2 linked regions of the Alligator mississippiensis genome follow. The protein of the gene in region 2 purifies or fractionates together with the protein of the main gene of each other region. This does not show direct contact. Links are inferred from orthologs where the notes say so. Each region holds a gene or a part of one and is shown on either strand. Other genes may lie near its edges.

Region 1 (7,593 bases), on a different chromosome or scaffold from region 2:
TACTATTGCTCTCTGCAGTTGGATAAACCCCATTAGTGCTACAAGTCATGCTTTTTCATCCCCAAGAGTCTGGGAACTGGGAAAAATCTCTGCATTTGTAGAGATTAGGAATGAAAGAAGGGAATGGAGTTTCATCATAACTGTGGTCTATTCCCTTAAATTTCATAGTAACCTGAATGCTGGGAGCTGTAAGGGAAGATAGGCAGAAACCAGAACAGTCTCGACAGGTCCTGCATATACACTCTTTCCCTTGGTGTCCATTCTCTGCCACTGAGAGATACAGGATAGATGTATCGGATAGATGTATCTGGGCTAACTGAACCTGTGGTCTGATCCAGTAAAGTGCTTCTTATGTTCTTATTTATTATTTTTGTTAATAGGCCCAAGCTATGTAAGAATTAGGAATATTTTTAAAGAAGTTTCTCTCTCATGATTTTAAGGAGAAGCATAAAACATGACCTATAAAAGCTCCAAAAAGCAGAAGGCTAATAATCATAATCATCATAATATAAATCAATTTTAAATGTCATCATTTTAAAGCTTGACTCACAATTTCTTTAGTGTCTGACTCATTATTTTTGAACATTTGGGATTGGCAATACTGCAGATTAGTGGGTCTACAATAGTGTAAATTGAAAGAGGCAAATTAATGTTAGCATCTATGCTGCTAATAGTGGCTTCGATTGAATTCTGTCTGCAGAGAAATAAATTGGTTGAAGATTCAGTAACAAGAAGTGAAATGATTAAATCAGGGAAGAAAAGTATTGCAGCAATTCTACTGGAGGAATAAGGGAACTTTTAAAAGTATTTTTGCAAAATGTATAAGATCATTCTCCAAGTCTAAATGTTTTAAACAGAAACCAGACTTAGCTGCTCAGTACTTGGCTTCAATTCTGATTAAATTCCAATAAATTCTGAGATTGTAGCTCTTGTGCTAACTTTCCAAGGTAAGCGGTATATGAGAGAAAGAGATCAAGTAATGACATAATGTGTTGAATGAACAGTACAGAAAAAGAAAATGAGAGACTATGTTCTTACAATATTGGAAGAGAAGAGACAGTATTTCTCTCAACATAAGACAGGGAATTTAGAATGAAAAGACCCTGAAATACATTTAGGTGGGAGACAATTGGTTGGAGGAATTTACTGCTACCAGTTACTGAAGCTGAGGGCTTTGTAGCATTTGCTTGGATCGTAAGAATATTCACATCTATTAGAATTTTAAAAGTAGTAAAGGATGCAAGCCTGTATATTTTACAACATCTGGCAGACTATTTGGAAGAAACTTCCATTGGGGCCAGGCTATTGCACTGTGTTTTCTTACATTCTCCTCTGAAGCATCTGGCAATGGTCACTTATACAGATAACTAGACTAGATGACTCACTGGTCTGTTCTAGTATGAAGAAACCTAAGTATTTAAGATTAATTTTCTGTACAGCACAACCACTGAATTGGAATTTGAGCGTGAACTTGAAGGAGCAAGATAAACATGTACGCAGAAAATTCTGTTGTAGTCCACAGCTTCAAAGCTATGTACTTACCTGGGGCATAGGAACTCAATGTAAAGAATACTTTTCAATGTAAAGAATGCTCATTAATTACAAGAATTCAAGGTAAACAATATTCATTAATCACAGGAACAGCTCGCCCTAAGGTTTTTGCACCTCATTAACATCTCTACCATGTTTCAAGGATGCCTGGTGCCTTTTATAGTAGCTTTGAAATTTTCAGGACCTGTTCAGCTCAAGACTATCCTAGACCCCTTGAAATTTAGATGCGTTATCAGTTTCACTGATGATGCAGTAAAATGGAGTACTACTAGGTTGCAAAATAGACAGCAGGGCTGGAAGATGCTATGGATTTAAACTGTTTATGCACTTTTATATGCAGATAAGAGATATTTATAATAGGGGCCCCACATGGGCGACTGGTGTCTCCTGAGTCAGGGAGGCACTTGTCCCCAAAGCAACCAGTCAGCGACTGGGGAGTGGAGGGGGGGGGGTCCAATCCTGCCAATCCTGCTGACTAGGGGGGAAGCGGGAGAAGTCCCCCCACAACGAATCCCACAGACCCACAAGTAGCAGCAGTGCTGGCACTTCTGGGTGAGCGTAATTGGCTGCGGGGGGACTGCAGGGATCACTTCTCCTGGTGCCCCCACTCCCTAGATGGTGCTCTCAGGGGGGCACCAGAGCTCTCATCTGCCCCCCTCCCTGGGAACGCTGTCAGGGGGTGTACCAATGCTTTCAGGCAGTGCATGTGCACTCCCGTGCACCCCCTATGCATTGCCACTGCAACCTCATGAGAAAGGGGTAGGGTGGAAGGAAGGAAGGGTGATGCTCATCTCCTGAACTCTAGAGCTGTGTGAAAGTATAGCTCAAACCTGCATGGGCCAAAGGGTGAGCCCAGAGCTCAAGGCACATGTGAGGCTCCAGCCAGAGCTGTGCTGACATGCCAGTACTGACATGCATCACACAACTGAAGGGGTTGTGACCTTGGATCCAGCCCTGAGTTTAAGCAATAGGCAAAAACTTAGGAGAGTTCTTGTTATGCAAATTATGCACTTATCTAGAGATGTAAGATGTATTCTGACATGGAGAAAGAAAACCTTTTCATTATTTCACTACAAAACATGCCCAAAAGGGCCTATTTTTACCATCCTTACCCTTATCCGTATGGCCATTTTAGAGCTGAATGATAGCACTGAAAGTGGGTGAGAGTAGAAGATTCTGGCTTTAGAGGTACTGCAACAGAAACAGAAGACTAAACATAAACAATATTGAACGGGAGCTGAATCCAAAAATACAGCGAAAGGCGTCCTTAGAGGAAGCATTTGGGACTTGCATTGAAGAGCTGAAAACATTTCTCCCATGTAATCATCAAACCCCAGCATTGTGACAGTCCACATAAACCGCAAGGAAAAACTGAGTTTCCCACAAAAAGGAATGGAAACATCAGTATCCAATCCTAGATGTTGAAGCAATCCTGCCAAGTGCCAAGAGCATTCAGCTGTCATCTTGCATATAAAGGATCTTGGATTTAAAGATGCCCAGCACAGGTCTGTGTTATCTAGTCCCAGGCCTTTGATGATCAGGTCTTTTGTAACTCCCCATGCAGTACCCGATCCTGGAGGATGCTGAGCAACTCATAAGGTGCTGGGAACACAGGGAAGATGACAACACTTTGAAGAGGTACAGGCTAGGGGACCAGAGTCATTATCCTAATAGCTGCATATTTAATAATAATAATTATCCTAAATAGTCAGTATCTGCAGTTTATATCAGCACCCTGCTTATTTCTGTACCAAGCTGTAAAACAAGCTGCCTCCCTGCAAATTAGAGCCTGTGCAGAAGCAAGCAAGACACATATACAGCACCTCTATCTCTAGCCCAAACACACAGACAGCTGGAGCGTGTCAAGGAGGGTGCTGCAAAAATATACACAGGGAGCGCTCCCTCTGACTGCTCCTGCTCTTGCAGAAGTCCTTCAAAAACAGATGCATGGTTGTCACAGGTACACATGCTATAAACGACCATGGCTGGAACAAAGAGGCCTGACAAGGCTTTAACTGGACTCTTTTTTTGTTTCCCCCCGAAGCAGAAAAAGTCAGACTTTTTCACAGCTTCTGCCTGGAACTTGCACACACGTGTGCACACAACCTACGTCCAGAGCTGGAATCTACAGGTACAAGCAACGTGACCCCACACCTGAATCTGGGTGTACATGCACACATGCACACAACCTGTGCCCACACTTGGAATCAGCATGCGTGCACACACACTCAACCTGCAGTCATATCTGGTATCTGTGTGTACATAGACGCACAACCTGTGCCCACACCTGGAACTGGTGTGGATATGCGCACACACACACACACACACAGAGTCAACCTGTGCCCACACCTGAAATCAGCACGTACACACACACACACACACACACACACACACACAGAGTCAACCTGTGCCCACACCTGGAATCTGTGTGTACACACCTGCACAACTTGTGCCCACACCTGGAATGGATGTGGCCATGCACAAACACATACACACACTCAATCTGTGCCCAGACCTGAAATCAGTCTGCATGAACACACACAAACATACACACTCAACCTGTGCCTACACCTGGAATCAGTGTGGACATGCACACACACACACAACCTGTGCCCACACCTGGTGTCAGCGTATAAACACACACACACACACTCAACTTCTGCCCACACCTGGCATCTGTGTGTACACACCTGGAATCTGCACACACACAACCTGTGCCCACACTTGGAGTCGGCACGCATGCACACACACCCAACCTGCAGCCACGTCTGGTATCTGTGTGTACATACACGCACAACCTGTGCCCACACCTGGCATCAGTGTGGACACACACGCAACCTGCGCGCACACCCAGCGCGAGTGCTGTCCCCGGGCCCGCCCGGCTGCCCTTGCCGGCGCTCGGGGGGCCGGGCCGGGCCGGGGCGGAGCGGGGCGGGGGCGCCCGTGGCCGGACGGACGCGGCGGGCACCCAATGCGCTCCGGCGCGGCCTCCCCGAAGGGAGGGCAGAGCGCGGCCAATGAGGCCGCGCCCGGAGCGGGACTTCCTCCGGGGACCCGCAACAGCGCCGCGCCGAGCCGAGCCGTGCTGAGCCGAGCACAGCCGACACGTCAGTGGGGCGGGCGGCGGCGGCGGCGGGGAAGTTTCCTTTGTTTCGCTGTCAGGGGCTCCTTCCCCGCCTGCTCCCGAGCAGCGCGGCCAGGCGCCGCCCCCGCCCCGGCCCCGGCCCCGGGACGCGCCGTCTCCCCGGGGCGCAGCGCAGCATGTTGCCGGGGCCGCCCGGCGGCGGGTCGCGCGGGCTGCAGCGCTGCCCCGTGCTGCCGCCTCCTCCGGCAGCTGCTGCCCGCCGCTGAGCCGGGCCGGGCTGCGGGCCCCGCGGAGGGACTATGGGCAACGGGATGTGCTCGCGAAAGCAGAAGCGGGTTTTCCAGAGCCTGCTGCTGCTGAGCGTGGTGTTTGGCTTCATCTACGGGGCGATGCTGTACTACGAGCTGCAGAGCCAGCTGCGCCGAGCCGAGGCGATGGCGCTCAAATACCAGCAGCACCAGGAGTCGCTCTCAGCCCAGCTGCAAGGTAACGCGGCTCCCTGCCCCCCGCCACGAGTCTCTCCCCACCCCCGCGCACATCTGCCCCGCAGCTGCCGCACCGCTCCCTGCCCGCCCGCCCGCCCTTCCCCCGGGCCTGCCGCCACGTGCAGGGGAGATGCTCCCCTTCAAGTCCACTGACTTGAATGTGGCCAGGATCCTCTCCCCTCCCCTCCCCTCCACAGGGCCCTCTTATTGCTGAAGGATCACAGGGCACCTTGCAGCTGCCAGCTGAAAAGGCAAACTCGCTGCATCCCCCTTTTTCTTACTCTCCTGGCCCCGCAAAAGCCAGTGGCTGCATTTTGGCTTTTGCCACTGCTTTGCATTTTGCCTGTGACATCCCATTGTGGGAAGGGATGGGACCAGCTTGAAAGTTTAGGGTCTGTTGCTTCGCCAGGTGAGGAACGGTTCAAGTCCTCTTTCCTGAGCTAGTTTAAGAACAGAGAAGAACAGGCTCTGTTACTGGCTTTGACTATTTTGGCTCAAAGCAGTTGCCTAGAAGTGGCTGCTCATCACCAGACACTTCCAGTTTTAGGATGCTCGAAATGGAGATTATTTTGCTTTGGAAACTGATCGCTGTCAGTTCCCAAGGACTTCTGCATGCAAAGATGTCAAATTGTATATGGACCATCAGTGCTGTGTAAAGCGCAAAACTTTTTAAGTTCCTTTTTAAGTCCCAGCTGCTTGAAGTCAGGCACACACAAATCAGTGACTGCTTTTGAAAGCTTTGGCCTTAGTATGTATAGTTTCTGTTCAAAGTGTTTGAGGTGGCCACAATTGAATATTGAGCATGTGATGCGTTTAACCGTCCTGGAACTTTACACGCTGCACCAGCGTTACACATTGCACCAACTGTACAAACAGCAGTAGGATGAATATTGTTGATTTGATCTTGCAACCTTTTACACGTGGACAGCAGGATTGGGTTAAAGGTTTTTAAACTCTTATTGGCGCCTCCTAAATCTGTGCAATAACAAATTCCAAGTCCATGGTTACTTAGTTTCAGCATCTCCAGTTCTGATAGAATAATGCTATGGAACACCTTGGCGGTGGCATCGCTGTAGTGACCGAGGAGGCATGAGGGGGAGAGATGTGGTTGATGGCTGAAGGGCTGCTGTAGCTGGTCTGCATATTTGCCAAGAGAATTTGAAGAGGAAATGGAGAAAACCAGAACATCTTGTTCCTTGGTCAAGTTAAACTTCAACAACTTTCTGTTACTTTCACTGACCTGGGGGACAGCAGAGTAACTTTATTGGTGGCATTCATCCTATAGATTGAAACTTTACCAAGATAGAGAAGAGGAGATAAAATGGCTCCGCACACTGAGGCTATGTTATAATTAAACTATTCACGTTGTAAACTTTATGGGTTAGTGACTATTTTCCCATGAAAATAAATGCATTAAAAAAATAGGAGAGAAACAATCAATAGAAACACCAGAAAAAACATGTCTCATGCTACATTACATATAATTTTCCTCTTACCATTTTAAATTAATTGCTGAACAACTAATAATGTTTTCCCCAAGGTTAACTTATTTTAATAATATATGCTTAAAAAGGAGAGAGTGAGCCTCTTGGGCATATCAAGCATATGTAAAAGATTTTTCTATCAAAGATACCCTACAGGTAAACCTTTTTACTAAAGATAAATATACATCCCTTCATCTGGAGAAAGGAAGAGACACCAGTTTTACAAAAAAAAGACATTCTTGAATAGATTTTTCTTTTTCTTTCTGAAATTTCTGGGAGGTAGGCTCAGAGCCTCAAATAGTACTTCTTTCTAGCCTCCTCCCTGGCTAAATACATCTCCCATGCATTTTCCATCCTGTGTGCGCCTAACGGCACATTGATGCTGAATTTGAACATCCTTGCACCTTGTATAGTCATTTCCACGAATGCAAAGTACCTTTACTAAAGGTAAAGCATTATCCTTGGCGTAAGTGTGGGGAGAATTCTGATTTAGCATTTGATATTTGATATTTTTATTTTACATGCAGTATTTTATAACAACTTAGCACAGAAATAGATGACTATACAAGGTGGATCAAATAGGCCTTTTGTACAACTTCAGCTTCCCCGTGGGGGGGGGGGTGTGTGTGTGTGTGTTGCATAGCAGCAGGGAAAGTTAACTTTTGTAAAGAGATACACGCTTCTAAAACAACACAAACAAAAGCATTGACTGAGAACATACGGGCAGGTGCAATATCTGACTGTACTTTGAACTCTTATTTTTAAGTGACCTGGGTTTTAAATTGGCCGTGTCCCTCTCAAAACTCTAAAATGTTTACCTTTCAGGGCTTCATTTGATTTGGATATCTTTTGAGTGTAAAGAACCCAGATTATTTTTGTTTGACTACTAATGGCTTAAATCTAGAAATAAAATAAGAAACAGATTGTGTAGCCATAGGCAAACCTCAATGTAGAGAAAGTCAGACTATTTATGGAGACATTTTTGGCT
Region 2 (8,015 bases):
TTCTGGCATTGCTGAATTAGCAATTTCTTATGAGAAAGCATTGTACTGAGTAGAGCACCCTGTCCAGATCTACTCTGTATATTAGCAGCCAAACCTAAATGAAACCCTGCTCTCCTGACTCCAAGGGCTGTGACTCCACACTGACCAATACTGTTATGAAGAATATGGTTTCTTAGGCACTGGCTTGAGGTCTTAAATGTTCCACCTGTCCTGCCTTTATTACTGCAACAGTAGCTCCTAGATGGTCTGAGATCAGGGTGCTGTTATGCTAGGCACTGCACATATGCATCCTGAGAGTCACTGCCCCAAAGAGCCTTCAGTCTAAACAGAAAAGACACCGTCATCGGCAATCCCTGGCAGTTGAAGATGATTGTCTTATCCATGGAATATGCTGGGCAAGCCGTTTCCATGGAAGATGCCTGTACATGATTTCTTTATTGTGGAGAAGCTGCTGCACATCAGCTTCCATGAGGTTCTTGGCAGAACAGGGCCTTGATCCAATGGCATGGAGGCCAAGAGCATTGGAGATCTCATTCTGCTGCAGCCTTCATCTGCCTTCACAGCTGTTGAGATTCTAACATCTTCTGCATGCTCTGCTGTTGGGGACTTGTAGACCCATGGCTAGGGGCTGGGCAGGCTTATTATAAGGCAAACTGTACTTGCCATGTCACAGCACCATCAAAGGATATATGTGGCTTTTCAGGAGAGAATGCATTGCCATCTGCTGTCCCCACCATAGCCTGGTGGTGCTGCCGGTGCTTGGTCCATGACTGCTTATTTATCAGTTACTCCTGCTTATTTTGCAGCTAACCTTCCCTGAAGGTCATTCCACTCTCTGCCACCCGTGGATGCTCTGGGTAGCAAGCAGTGTAGCTTTATTGCCAGATAAGACAAACTGATGGCAGGAAGAAGGAAGCAGAGATCCAGAGAAGTGATTGCTCCAGGTCCCATGAGAGGTCAGTGGTGGAGCCAAAATCAGAAGCCAGGTTTCTTGACTCCTAGTCCCACACCTCATCTATCAGTCCATGTCACTTATGGACGGTGACAGCCTTTGCTGCAGGAACTGTGTGAGGCAGTGGAACAACTCCAGCACCATCCTTGTCCACAGAAGCATCTTTAGCCTATATGCAGCACTGAAGCGGTTATGTTGAACGCTCCTGTGTGCCCAGCCTAGCAATTTCATATTCCAGGAGGGTGTTTGTCCTGTGAAGGATCTGCCTCCAGCAGGATAAAACAAATAGATGAGCCCAATTTGCAAGAGTGGCAGAGCTGCCTTTTGGAGCGCTGAGTTGTATTTGTGGGGAACAGAACAGAAATTGGATAAAGCTCCTTGCATCTGCTGGCAGCACAAAGCAATGCAGAGCACAGCTATTCCCAGAGATACAGCACACATCTTCAGGGCTGGGGATTTTCCTAGTACATTTGCAGATCTGAATTACACCCATATATTAGCTGTTTGACACAGCAATCTGTCACACTCGGGCCTGGCAGACAGAAGCAGAGGACAACTTTCCTCCCACTTGGCCCAGTCTGGACACCACAGTGTGTGTGTGGGTGTGGGTGTGTGGCGGGGGTGCAACTGCTTTTGTCCAGGGCTATCCACCTATCTGTACATTCCTCTCTGAGTATAACAGTCACCAGTTGGCATGTCTGCCTGTATCTGTCTGTCCAGGGGCTGGACAGTGTGTGCCTATATGTCACCATGTGTGATCATGTGTTTGTGAGTACTTGTATATCTTTGTGTGTATGTGTTCATGCCAATCTGTGTCTATGCCATTGTATTTGGCTGGATGTTTGGGAGTTTGTGCATCAGTTACTCGGTGTGTGGCTGTAAATAACTTTCCCATCAGGATTGTCCCTCTTGAGTCACACTTCATTAATTTCCCAAGGAAGCATGACCAGGTCCAAGCTGCATCTCCAAGCATTGCCCCCCCCACCTCCCCTCACAACACATGGGAAAGAGTCCTGGCCTGGGAGAAAGAGTTGCATTGATTTTGCAGGGAGTGCTGAGAGTGGAGCTGGGCTCGCAGGGTGCTCTCTGCTGTACTGTTGCCTCACTGCAAACAGATTGGAGGGGTGACTCGCAGGTGCTAGTCTTTGCAGTGCTTTAAACTTGTTCCTGGACAGTTGCTTCCACTGGTTCTGTGGAGTGTGTCTTGTGGAGTGCCCATTGCCATGCTCTCCAGGCAGCCAGCCCCAGAAGTGGGCTTAGCTCCAGCTATTCAGATCTCACATGCCAGGATACAGCAGGGTTGAGATTTCCTCATATACAGAGCCCACAGCTGGGACCCAACTTACCAAGAAGCCCAGCACCCAGCTCAGCCCCTAAGGAAATCTGTCCCTGGAGGATCATCATGAGAGAAGTGTGGGAAAGTTTGTGTCTAGGGAGACACTTTTTGGCTGAAATTGCCAAGGTAGCTTCAGCAGAGACCTATGTGTTCTCTGAATGTCCTTGGGGATAGCGTTCACACACACACATGCACACATGCATGCACACACACCCACACACATGGCTGAGCCGTACTCATACAGAACCCTTCCTGCCTCTGTCATATCCACACTCTCACCAGCCGTCCCTACATGAACACCATCTCCACATTCACCCACACTCACAAATGTCCACATGTGCTCCCCTCCTGCATGCCCCCACTGCAGATGCCTAGTCCTCAGACTCACTCCTCATCACACACCCATAAAACATCAGCATGCTGCACCTTCACTGATCCATGCCACCTTTGCACAAGCAGTCATTGAAGCTTTGGTATCCATTGAATCAATGTCCAGAACAAAATCGCCTTGCCTTATCCCTCCCTCTGCTCTCCTCTCTACCCCACCTTCCCCATCCCTCTCTCCCACCAATCAGACTGAGACACAGTTATAACTCTACCTGCCTTCAAGGTTTTATCTGTTTAATTAGATAATTTTCCACCCCATTTGTCATCAGTGGCTCAGCCGTGCATTTGAGCCCCCGATTAGAACGACAGCCCCGTGCAAATAAATGAACGCTCAGACCAGTGCTTCCCTCCAGAGAGGATGTCAGCCCACAATGCTTCTTTCATCTCCCTTGGCATCAGTGCCCACGATTGAGTCAGCCCCCTCACCTCCATGGAGATCGCTCCTTAGCCTCTGTATCTCTCCATCAGTACCTCAGCGTGAGGCTTTCTGCCTTTCTGAGGATCTGTCTTGCCGTCTCCCTCGTGTTCTCCCTTTTGCCTGCTCCTGGTTATCACAGTGCCTAATGGAAGCCCAGCACAGCCATGGCATTTCCAGCTCCCCCTTGTCAAGCGCTCGCCCATGGATTAATCTTTGTGTGCTCTCCCTCGTGCCTTCCCCCAGCCCTCCATCTCCCCTTTGATCCAGAGGAGTGTTTCTTTGCCAAGCAGCATCCTATTGCCCCCACCCTTACCATCACGGGCAGCAGCTGGGGTGGGGGTGTGCTGGTCAGTAGAGTGAACAGGCAGAGCGGGGGAAGGCAGCTCTTCTCTCACCATCCCGAGTCCCCATGCCCCTATGGTCTTGGCCAGGAGGCTTCAGGCTGATTCACCATCGCAGTTATTGAAGCCTCCTGCCCTGATCCCCCAAGTAGCTGTGCCCAGGCCACCCCCTACACCCAGGCAGGGCTCAGTAACTTCCTAGGAGCCATGTGAGGGCATGAGGCCTTGTCGTAGAGTCCGCTGCCGTGGGGGCCTTACAGCGAGCCCCGCTGCAGGGGTGGGAGCTGGGGCTCCAGCAGGGCACTAGGGGGGGACCGCCCCCAAGCTTTAGGGTTACCATACATCTGGGTTTTCCTGATCATGTCCTCTTTTTAGATCCTCCAATCTCGGTCTGGGCGGTTTCCTTAAATATGATCAAATGTCTGGGGTTTTGGTCAGCTCTGCTTCAGAGTTTTTCCTGGTACTTCCCGGCTTGCCCTAGCAAGGAGCAGCTTGGGGCTGGGGGCAGGGCAATTGGAGGCAGGGCGCACACGTGGTAGGGGTGGGACCAGCCCGGCAAGTGGATCCAGGTAAGTCTGTGGGGGGCTGCGGTTGGAGGAGCAGGGCTTGGGGATCGTTGTGGGGTGTGCGTGTGGCAGGGGTGTGTGTGTGTGGAGCTGTGCGGGTGGGGTGTGTGTGGCAGGGGTGTGTGTGGGTGTGGCAGGGGCATATGTGTGTGGCAGGAGTGTGTGTGTGTGGTTGGGGGCATGGGTGTGTGATGGGTATGTGGCAGGGTGTATGTGTGTGTGGCAGGGTATGTGGGTGGGAAGGGGCGTGGGTGTGTGTGTGTGTGGCAGGGTGTGTGGCAGGGTGTGTGTGTGTGTGTGGCAGGGGTGTGTGGCAGGGGGTGTGGGTGTGTGGGAGGGGGCGTGGGTGTGTGTGTGGCAGGGGTGTGTGGCAGGGTGTGTGTGGGAGGGGGTGTGGGTGTGTGTGATGGGTATGTGACAGGGCACGTGTGTGTGGCTCAGGTGATGGGTTTGTGGCAGGGTGTGTGTGTGTGTGGCTGGGGTCGTGGGTATGTGACGGGTTTGTGGCAGGGGGTGTGTGTGTGGGAGGGTGTGGGTGTGTGTGATGGGAATGTAGCAGGGCACGTGCGTGTGGCTTGGGTCGTGGGTGTGTGATGGGTATGTGGCAGGGTGTGTGTGTGTGTGGGAGGGGGTGTGGGTGTGTGTGATGGGTGTGGCAGGGCACGTGCGTGTGGCTTGGGTCGTGGGTGTGCGATGGGTATGTGGCAGGGTGTGTGTGTGTGTGTGTGTGTGGGAGGGTATGTGTGATGAGTATGTGGCAGGGGGCGTGGGTGCGTGTGTGTGGCAGGGCAGGGGGCGTGCGGCGCGGCAGCCCCCGGGCCGGGCCGGGCCGGTGCCCGAGGTCGCAGGGCGCAGCAGCAGCAGAGCCCAGCGCCCCGCGGCGCAGGTGCGGTGTTGGGGGTGCGGGCGGCGGGCGCGGTGGGGCGCAGGGCCGGCAGGAGGCGCCCTGTGCCCGCGCTAGGCTCGGCCGCGGCCCCGGCGCTGACGTCAGGGGCGGGCGGAGGCGCCGCTCGCGCGGGGCTCGGGCTACTTCACCGGGCTCCGGCGGCGGCGGCGGCTCCGGCTCCGGCTCCACGGCCGCGGCGGCATCATGCGGGAGGCGCGGGCGCTCGTGTTGGTGCTGGTGCTGGGCGCCCAGCTCTGCGCCCCGGACAGCGACACGCCGACAGGTCAGCGTCCCTCGCCCGCCCGTCCGCTGCCGGGACCCCGCTGCCGAGAAGTTTGCGCCGCGGTGCCCTGCCCTGCCCTGCTCTGCCCCGCTCTCCCCTGCCCGGCCCGGCCCCGGCTCGGGCTCCAGCCGCTCGCGAGCCGTGAGGAGCGGGAGCGGGGCCGGCAGGAGCCGCCTCTCGGTGCGCTGCCGCGGGGAGAAACTTCATGCCGGCCGCGCTCTCGCTCGGGGCTCTGGCTGAGAGGCAGGAGAAACCCGGGTCGGTCACCGAGGGACTTTTCTTTGGGGAAACCCTCCCCGCCACCGATATTTGTCTTTCCCTGTTGCATTTAGGGGTGCCCCCGCATGCTGGTGCCCTGTGCGGGAGGGTGCGCATTGCCCCGTCCGCTCCTCTCCGGCTTCTGCCGCCGGGTTTGGGCACCTGGGATGCGGGAGTGACAACACGCAGTTGTGCGCCCGTTGTTGAGGGCATCCCGCAGCGAGAGCAAGGAGGGTCTCGGTCCCTGTGCAAGAGGGAGAGTCAGCCGAGCTCGGGGACGCCGCTGGGAAGACCGGCGTTGTCATTGCCAGCTCTCCCCGGCTGTGCCAGCCTAATGAAGGTGTAGGCGAGGTTTGTTCCAGAGAAAGCTAAAGATCCTCAACTTCGTCTGATCCCCGCAAGTTGAAAAGCAGTGGTTTGAAGCTGGGGTTTCGGGGATTGCTCAGCGTCGCTTCTCCGCTTGTTCCTTTCCGTGCCGGGCGTTCGGGTGCACGGAGGGGCTTGCGGCAGCTCTCCCATAACAAACCCCTCTCCTCCAGGCATGTAATAAATGCGGTGTTGAAAGAAGAGAGCAACTCTCGGGGCTGAAGCTTCCTAGACAGATTCAGCCCAGAGGCAGGCTTTGTTGATAAGGGACGAGTTCAAGTGTGTGCATATACATGTACACACACTTGCACTCGCACACACACTTTTGCCATCTCTCAGCTTTTAATCTGGAGCGTCCTTGTTTTTTCCATCTGATATTTCACGGACTCCCGGTTGGCATGATATGCATCTGGCTCCATCTGCCTGGTTTGGGTCACTCCATGGCTTCGTGCGTGTGTATTTCTGTTGCTGGGGGGGGGGGAATGTCTGGGTTGGTAACGTGGCCCCTGTGTGCTAATTATTTTTGGTGGGTGTTGTGTTGGGGCTGCAGCAGGGAGTGGTCTGAGACGGGTTTCTGAAATGACAGCTGCTCTTGCATGTTTCGAATCCTTTTGGGAAAGATTTTTTTGTTGTTATTCTTTTCAATAAGTAAGTAAATTTAAATACAAAAACTCTGTGGCCCTGGTATTCTAGTGAGCCACGGAAATTAGATGGAGGAAAACCACTCAGCGCCAGTCCTGCCCAGTGCAGACTACTTCTGTTATATACTTACTAACACATTTGTCTTGCCTTGTTTTAAATGCCCCTAGAAGGGGCTTCCATGGACTGAGCGGTTGCTTGCCTATCTTGCTTAACTTCTTCCCGGTGCTCTTTCTTCGGTGCCCCCAACGAGCGCCCTAAACAATTCCTCTTGCCCTCGTCCACCCTTCTCATCCCTGTCTGTCCCCCCACAGGGGTGGTGTTCGAGGGGACGCTCAGTGCAGTGGGGGAGCCGTGCGGGGATGTTTGGTGTCCTTTGCTGTAGAGGACATGCAGATGGTGACTGAAATGCACAGAGATCCGGGGAGGCACAGGCCACTGTGCTCTGTCACACATGCTGTTGCGCTCCTGGCTGATGGGCACGAGGAGTTGCCGTATGTAGGATGCTGAACAACGTAGTGTAGCAACAGTTAAAATGCTGCAGTCGGACCCTGGCCAGCTGGAGCAGGTGTAGGGTGTAGGGTGCATGTGTTTTAGGGCTGGCTCTGTTTGCATCCAAGTCGCACCATCTTCATTGCCCAGAATATCTTGATAGTCTGATCCCTCCCTCTTCCTTTTTTCCCACAGCATAACCAGGAAATAAAACTTTGTTCTCACAGGGATGTTTCTTACTTCAGAGCTTGCCAAATTTTAATCGTTCTTGAAACGAATGGATCCGCTAGGGTAAACGCGCCGCAGATCTGAACTGAAGTAGCTAAACAACAGCTTGGGCTGCGCTGCTCCCATCTGGCGACTGTGTTCGAATGTAGGGGTTCCAGTTCAGGCCGGTAGAGAGAAGCTAACTCTTCCCGATCTTGAAACCTGCGCCCAGCAGAGATCTGCCTCTGGGTTTGGGTTTACGTTTTAAACTGCCCTCTTGCAGTCAGGAGTAGGGGGCCAGTGCGGGCAAGTCCCTACAGAGCAAGTGGGGCATGTGAATCTGGTCTCTCCTGCAGAGGACGGCCGTGGGTTCAGGTTTCTAGGCTGCTTCATGGAGGTTCTCCTTATGAAGGGGAGAAGCAGACACAGGTGATACCTGGGGCGGGATTCAGTACCTCTCAAATGCTTTCTGGAGTAATAACTCTCCTTTAAGACTGCTGCTGCTCTTTGATGTACACCGTTTTCAAGCGTCTTTTCATCGGGCTATATTTAGATGTTACAGAACGTTTTACTAAACAAGGATGTTTGTCCCGCCTGCCCCCCCCTTGAGTGACGTTAAAATGAAGCTGGTCTCTAAGCATCTCATCCGGTCCTGCTCCTAGGAGAGTCATGGGAGAGAGAAACTTGACCCTGAGAGCTGGCGTGGAGAAGAGATAAACAAGGGGAGAGGAGGACCTTTCTCCACCCCCCCCCCCGCATGTACACGTACACATGCATATATGTACACACTTACACAATTTCCCAACATGTCAGACATGTCTCCGGCTTCCTTAGGAAACATGAGTGGGCGTGGAGTTGTGGTCGGGTTTGAATGGGGGCAGTGA

What was found. The genes of interacting proteins can lie anywhere in the genome.
Region 1: the proteins of PTPRU (region 2) and GOLIM4 purify together in Homo sapiens (affinity purification with mass spectrometry; 3 studies listed by BioGRID and IntAct, counting the BioPlex papers as one, with this or other methods). This does not show direct contact. The link is inferred for Alligator mississippiensis from reciprocal best matches to the Homo sapiens genes PTPRU and GOLIM4.

Annotation. Positions count from the first base shown.
Region 1 is NC_081830.1:73,493,491-73,501,083, reverse strand, and holds the start of GOLIM4 (Golgi integral membrane protein 4), read left to right. Parts: upstream 1-4,586; 5' UTR 4,587-4,935; coding exon 4,936-5,122; intron 5,123-7,593. UniProt on the Homo sapiens protein: Plays a role in endosome to Golgi protein trafficking; mediates protein transport along the late endosome-bypass pathway from the early endosome to the Golgi.
Region 2 is NC_081829.1:10,863,428-10,871,442, forward strand, and holds the start of PTPRU (receptor-type tyrosine-protein phosphatase U), read left to right. Parts: upstream 1-5,005; 5' UTR 5,006-5,090; coding exon 5,091-5,169; intron 5,170-8,015.